Bombyx mori: one gene and its partner. The protein of the gene in region 1 interacts with the protein of each later gene in a pairwise test. Links are inferred from orthologs where the notes say so. Each region holds a gene or a part of one and is shown on either strand. Other genes may lie near its edges.

Region 1 (3,828 bases):
ATAATTTTTTGGAAGAAATCTTTAAGGCATGCTTAGAAACTATCCCATTATCCAGAAACAATTGGGTACGTGTGTGTTTCATGTATACTAATATTGAGTACATTATAATTGAGAGTATTCAATACTAGGTGAAACCATAATATTGTCTGCTAGTCTACAGCATTATACAAATTATGTCTAAACTGTTAGAGCACTGTAAATGAAGAAATGACTACAGTGTCAGTTTTAAAATATTACAAATTAATTAATTTAGTATTACCTTGTTACAGTTGTACATAGGGGGCGTGCCGAATTTACAAGAGGGTCTAGTCGTGAACCAGAATTTCACAGGCTGCATAGAGAACATGTACCTCAACGCGACCAACGTTATACAAGATTTGAAAAAGGGCTATGAGAGTGGCGAACCATTTAAGTTCCAGAAACTGAACACCCTGTACGCGTGTCCGGTGAGTAGCAGCGACCGCAGTGTTCTAACGTCATTAAAAAATAAATAAATATATATATATATATATTTTTAAGGGATTTTACGACCTGGTAACTAAGACCTTTATGGCATGTCTTATTTTAATTTATATTGTTATTTTTATGAAAAATGATGAAATGAAATGAAAATGATTAATTTGAGATATTAATCAATTGGGATGAAATCAAATGAGATGCGATGAGATGATATGGGATGAAATATAATCTCAGTAAAATTGTGGTCATTTTAGTGGACTTTTTGGAGGATCCCGAGAAGCTACGTCCAGCGGCCTTGTTTCATTTTCCCACATTTGTGCACTTTCACAGATACTAAACAGTTAATAAACTACCGTTATTACACATTTAAACCTGAAGAAACACTAAATAAACATAATAAAACAAATCACGCAACTTCCGTCCTCGCGTTCCCGCCAAAAAGTCCCAAAAAAATTATTTAATTATAAAGCACAGATAATTTAATCTTCTAGTTTTCTCTATGCCCGTTTTCGTTACTCCGCTGTGTCTGTGTAGGAGCCCCCTGTGGTGCCGGTGACGTTCCTGAAGGAAGGCTCGTACGCCAAGCTGCGCGGGTACTCCGGCGGCAGCGCGCTCAACGTGTCGCTGGAGTTCAGGACCTACGAGCTGCAGGGGCTGCTGGTGTACCACCGGTTCAACACCGAGGGATATGTTAAGGTACCTGCTTATAGGACAGAAATATGTTTAGAATTTTACTAGTTAATGTTACCGGTGCGTGTCGGTGACGCGATCAGAATGAAAAAAATTAAAGAAAGAGAAAAAACACGAGTGTAGTTTTGTCTCGGTCTCTCGAAAGCGATGCCATTGTATATATTATACATTTACGTACATATTACCATCGTACGAACCTGACTACATGACAATGGTGTAAAACAACTGAGATGCGGACGCGGAGACAAGATGAAATACTATTTTATATTCACGTTACAGCTTGTAGCCGGGTTTGTTAATATTTAGTTATTTGTCCATCAGGTATATCTTGAAGATGGTAAAGTGAAAGTCGAGTTGGAGACGGCCGGATCTCCTCGCGTGAAGCTGGACAACTACGTGGAGCTGTGGAACGACGGTCGCTGGCACTCGCTGATGCTGACCCTGGCCCCGGACTCGCTGGTGCTGTCCATGGACTCCAGAGCCGTACACACGTCAAAGAGACTGCGATTTCTTACCGGCAGCTATTATTTTATTGCTGGTGAGTGTCAGATTTAATGTGCAGTCGAAGCGTTCCTCGTGGGTGGCCATGGTCACGTCATGCTTGTATCGTTCGGATAGCTGTGTCCAGGAATTCAACAAAATGACAAAATTATATTTTTATACTTTTATTAAGTACTGCTTTTTACAATTTTATATTATTCGATTCACAATAAGTCTGCGGCTTATCGCTTATGTTGTTGGTGTTGTGCACGTGTCTCTGTCGCGTCTCTCTGCCTTCACGTTTTGTCACCCCGCACTCCGCTTCCGCGTGCCCTCCTCGTTTGGGTATCGTCGCCGACAGTTGGGTTTGTAGTTATAAGTTGTATACTACACAGCAACCAGCAGACTGGCAAACATTAACATAGTATCGTTTCTTCAGGAGGCAAAGCCCCACCGCGCGGCTTCATCGGTTGCATGCGCAAGATTTCCGTGGACGGCAACTACCGCCTGCCGACGGACTGGAAGAAGGAGGACTACTGCTGCCCCAACGAGCTCGTGTTCGACGCCTGCCAGATGATCGACAGGTGAGTAGTTGAGGTCGCGCCGCACTGTGCTGACGGAGCCTCACCCTCACCCTCACCCTCACCCTTACCCTCGGCCGGCCCGCAGGTGCAGCCCCAACCCCTGCGAGCACGGCGGCCGCTGCGCGCAGACCGCTGACGAGTTCTCCTGCAACTGCCGCGACACGGGCTACGCCGGCGCCGTGTGCCACACGTGTGAGTACTGACGCTTCGACGATATTTAAAGTAAAGGTATTATCCTGAGAATAACTCATTTCGAGAAGGCGGCACGACATGAGAATCCCCTAGTCGTGGCCTCTGGAAACTACATACCCGATCCTGTAGACCGAATGGTAAACAGTCGACGTCGAAAGCACATCGTTACGGATCCCCCTGATCCATTAATGGTGCTTTTAGGCACCACAAGCACCGGTCACCGTCCTCGTCGAACCCGTCGCTTGCGACGAAGGACTCGACGAGCGAGTTAACTGATAGACACAGCCCTCTGAGTTTCTCGCCGGATCTTCTCAGTGGGTCGCGTTTTCGATCCGGTGGCAGATTCTGCGAAGCACTGCTCTTGCTAGGATCAGTGTTAGCAACACTCCGGTTTGAGCCCCGTGAGCTCACCTACACACGTTAGGGCGAAGCTGAAATAGCCTCTCAAGGCTATCAGCATAGGTAGGGAAAAAAGAGAATAAATTTTTAATGAGGACATGTAAGGACAACAGGTTTGGTTAACGAGGAGTAACAGTAGTTCTTCGATGTAAATGAGAATGTCCGCAGCGGTGCACCCGTTGTCGTGCCAGGCGTACCACAGTGTGTCGGCGGCCCGGCGCTCCGCCAGCGTGCACATCGACGTGGACGGCTCCGGCCCGCTGCCGCCCTTCCCCGTCACCTGCGAGTTCTACTGTGAGTACGCGCCCTCGCCCCCCAACCCCTCGCCCCCGCCCCCGCCCCCGCCCGCAGTAACCGCACCGTCGCTTGCAGCGGACGGCCGCGTGATAACGTCGGTGAAGCACTCGGTGTCGCAGAGCACGGTGGTGGACGGCTACCAGGAGGCGGGCAGCTTCCGGCAGGACGTCATCTACGACGCCAACCGGGCGCAGCTCGAGGCCCTGCTCAACAGATCTGTATCCTGCTCGCAGCGGCTGGACTACTGGTGCAGGCACTCGAGGCTCATGAACTCACCTAGTAAGCTCTAATATAAATAGATCAATAATGAATTAATAGTGAACGGTGTTCGGTAAGACAAATGTGATAGCACTAGATAACTAGTAGTCAATAATAACGAGGAAATATTACTTAAAAACTAAAAAAAAATACATGTGTTTGTACTCATATATTAGGCAAAGCTATAAAACAATTTGTGTCGTCATCAGCCCTTGATGTGTATCCAAATTTTCAAGCTAACAGCATGACTAAAGTCGGTGAACACACAGACTGTTAGAGGTCAAGCTTAGAAAAGCGCAGTCAAAATTGTATAATCTTTGTAGTCTTGTATATACTCTATGTCAGTCTATGGAGTATTTGTAAAAAAATGTCATTTAAAAAAAAAATGTGTGCGTGTACTAGTGTACACACGTAAGAAGTGAAACTTGTTTATGGCCTTATTTTTCGAAAAATGATCTACATGCAACTT
Region 2 (3,828 bases), on another chromosome or scaffold:
TCAAACTTACTATAAACTCCAGTATGGCGCTAATAATGGAGTGCATCGTATCTAATATTAACTTTACGGTTAATTCTGTATGCAAATTATTAGTATATCAATTGAAATTAAACATTGAAATTGACATACGACTCTTACAGAACGGATAACGGCACAGATGACGCTGTGCCTCTAACTCGCAGCAGTCCTCCGGCGACTGCACTGCGTCCGGCACCAGCGTTCGAGATGCCACGGACTCCTGAACAAAAAGAAGCGATAAGAAGGAAATGGCAGGCTATATTAGGTAAACTAGCTGACCCGGCAGACTTCGTAGTGCCTCAATCTATAAATAAAAGACCTAAACTTTTGTATAAAATAAACTTAAAACAAACAAAAGGAATTCGTCCGACGGGGGACACATCAAAGGGAAAACAAAATTGTTATTTTTATTTAATTCCGAGAATTTTCATATTTATCTACCTTTTAAACCTTCTCTGGACTTCCACAAATAATTCAAGACCAAAATTAGCTAAATCGGTCCAGCCGTTCTCGAGTTTTAGCGAGACTAACGAACAGCAGTTCATTTTTATATATATAGATTTTTAATACAAACCATCGTCTCTACTAGCGCTATCCTAAATAGTCTTTATAAACTTTAATCAATTTGTGGAAAACATTCTCGTTTTTTTTGTAAGTCATAGTACTAAGAAAACACTGGAGGATGAGCGTGTTTCAAAATGTCACCACTGGGAAACATGGCGCACGTGATGTATGAGGTTCCAGATATTAAGATTAAACACCACTTTGCTTAAAGTTGAGTGTAGACAACAATTTAAGTTAGTATAAATACATATTTGGATGTTTTCTCTTGACCACATCAAGAGTGGTACATAATGTACTTGCTTTTGCCCGCGACTTCGTCCGCGTGGAATAGTTACTTTGGCATAACGCTAAATTTTACCCGCGACTTCATTTACGTAGAAAGTGTAAATATTTTAGAATAATAGAATGTTAAGGAGTATTTTAAGTACCAAAATCATGCATTTTAAGCGATTTCAAAAGAGGAGGCTATCAATTCGACCACCATTTTTTATTTGTGTATGTTCACCGATTTCTCGAGAATGCTTGAACCGATTCTGATAATTCTCACTGAAACAATATTTCAAAATTTTTATTTTCAAATTTTCAAATCGGAACAAACAAACAAACTCTCCAGCTTTATAATGTTAGTAATGTATATGTTTGACGGTTGCAGGCGAGGACGTGGAGATAGTGGTGGGCGTGGTGGTGCGCGGTGGGGGTGGTCTGGGCATTTCGCTAGAAGGCACCGTGGACGTGGAGGGGGGGCGCGAGGTGAGGCCGCATCACTACGTGCGCTCCGTGCTGCCCGAGGGGCCCGTGGGCCGCGCCGCCGTGCATCGCCCCGGCGACGAGCTGCTCGGTACTCGCACTATACTGTCTCATACGTCTGTTCCTCAACTGTCTGTCCAGTTTATGGCGCAATAAAAGGGGTTGGGAATAACGATATGCAGGTCTGAGATGCTTAAACATTCGAAGCAACCATCATCAGCACAAACAATTATCTTGCTCGAAGACTCCGCGCCGGTGGGTACCACCACCCTGCCTATTTCTGCCGTGAAACAGTAATGCGTTTTGGTTTGGAGGGTGGGTCAGCCGTTGTAACTATACTTGAGACCTTAGAACTTATATATTGAGGTGGGTGGCGCATTTACGTCGTAAATGTCTATGGGCTCCAGTACTTAACTTAACACCAGGTGGGCTGTGAGCTCGTCCATCCATATAGCAATAAAATAAAATAAAAAAGATTCCACATTCCAAATGTTATCAGAGTATTCAGTGTCGAATTACTAGTTCCTACGACCATTTTTCCGATTTATTAAACATTTTGCGAATCGCCCCAAGCAGCCCCTTAACACGCGACGTAAGTTAGAAATGTTGAAAACGTGATTCGTGCCCGGCTCCTCCAAAAATAATGAAAATGAGAAAATTGCCGTTGTTTACATGCGCTTATTATTAAATAAACAAATTACAGAAGTGAACGGTCATCGGCTCCTGGGCATGAACCACTTAGAAGTGGTGTCAATTCTGAAGGAATTATCGAGTGAAGTCTGCATGGTGTGTGCGAGACCTCGACCTGCGCCCCCTCTCGACCTAGCGCCGCCTGCCACAACATTAGTGAAGGTTAAATTTGTTTTATAACTATTATATACTTACCAGAAGAAAAAAAAACATTTGTATTAGATGAATCCAAAACTATTTTATTTTATTAGTGAATAAACAAACTCAAATTACACTTGGTGTCAAATGCTGGCACATAGCTACCCCCTCTGTCAAACTAGGTCAGAGTCTCAATTGATTTAATTGATTTGTATAACGATTGTTCTACGTTCCAAACTGGAAGGTATGATAGCTTCGTGCCACAACAAGATAGAATTGTTGAACCTGTCCGTACGGGCTCACATATGTTACAATGGCGATTATTTGATTAGTACAGTATTACACTCGGATTAATTATTCGTATGATCATTCCTAAAATAGAATGTTAATGCTTAGAGAAAAAAATTAGGACACCGCTCAACTGATTTGATTTGATTTCATTTATTTTGACCTGGATTTTAGGAATTAACAGAGCCTACAGCTAATACTTCCGAAGTCGACATTTTAGCAAGCAAAATTAGGTAGAAGTTTCAATTGCGCTAGAATATTGGTTAACCTATTTTTTTAACTAAAAAATTCGATTGCGTCAATAGTAATAGGCATTGATAAAGTAATATAATTATTATAATTAATATAATAAATAGGCTTGATTAATTAATATGATGTTATCTCTATTACGCGGAGGCTGTACACGTTATCGCAGACACCTACATAAATTAAGGAGTCAGTCTGTCTGTCAATCAGAAAGAAATGTAGTTGTTCTAAGATCCAGATTGACAATTGTATGTTTAAGTAACCGCGTTTGTTGTTCATTGACATAAGGTACCTTTTATTTAAAATGGCATTCATTCTTCAATGCGTTCATTGTTGTTGTGTATTTGCATAAGACAAAAACAAAAGTTTTAAAAAAACAAAATGAACAGGTCTGATGTCTTTTTTCAGTGACCAAAATCGGTATCCATGATGTTTGGGGTTGTTAGTAAAGTGCCCATTAACTCTTACAAGGTGCCGAGAACGGTAAAATATGTTTGTTTGCATGAATGATTCATATTTAATTTGTGTAATCGAGATTCTAGTAAGAAGTTCCCTATAAAGTAATAAGTAAAAGGCATTTCCGACATTATGATATCGAAACAATACTTGTGTCTTGTTAAAATAAAAATCCTTATCCTAATCTATGTATTGTAAGAACAGATGTAATTTCCATAGATATAAAGCTGAAATTTACAAAATGCACGTTCTTCAGAATCGGCGGTAGGCTGTTAATTTCTCGTTGCATTCATTGTAGATTTGTATCTTTGACGTAGCCTTGGTAACGTATCTGTATCTTTTTTGATAGAGTAGTTATTTGATTCTGTGTTTAAAAGATAAAATATATTTCTTCTTCAAAAATCTCTGTTACACCGTAAGGCGCACCTAATCTCGACTATTCAGTGGCATTTATTTTAATGTAGAAATTAATCATTTTTATTAATACTTTAGGCGAAATCGGACGGTAGCCTGGCGGGTGCGGGTGCTGAGGAAGGCGGGTCGCTGTCCGCCGCTGGGAAAGTTCGTTCCCGGAGTCTCGAACCACTAACCGGACTTGCTATGTGGTCTTCTGAACCCCAGATAATAGGTACCAAACATTTTTTGTCTTAACAAATGTAAATTAAGACCAGTTTAAAGTGT

Evidence for each region.
Region 2: the proteins of neurexin-4 (region 1) and patj homolog interact in a two-hybrid assay, tested with the Drosophila melanogaster proteins (2 studies listed by BioGRID). The link is inferred for Bombyx mori from reciprocal best matches to the Drosophila melanogaster genes Nrx-IV and Patj.

Annotation. Positions count from the first base shown.
Region 1 is NC_085115.1:15,840,644-15,844,471, forward strand, and holds part of neurexin-4, read left to right. Parts: intron 1-269; coding exon 270-446; intron 447-993; coding exon 994-1,155; intron 1,156-1,470; coding exon 1,471-1,687; intron 1,688-2,068; coding exon 2,069-2,213; intron 2,214-2,298; coding exon 2,299-2,405; intron 2,406-2,972; coding exon 2,973-3,098; intron 3,099-3,176; coding exon 3,177-3,380; intron 3,381-3,828. UniProt on the Drosophila melanogaster protein: Seems to play a role in the formation and function of septate junctions.
Region 2 is NC_085111.1:10,386,450-10,390,277, forward strand, and holds part of patj homolog, read left to right. Parts: intron 1-140; coding exon 141-283; intron 284-1,234; coding exon 1,235-1,420; intron 1,421-2,032; coding exon 2,033-2,181; intron 2,182-3,639; coding exon 3,640-3,775; intron 3,776-3,828. UniProt on the Drosophila melanogaster protein: Involved in cell polarity establishment. Probably participates in the assembly, positioning and maintenance of adherens junctions via its interaction with the SAC complex.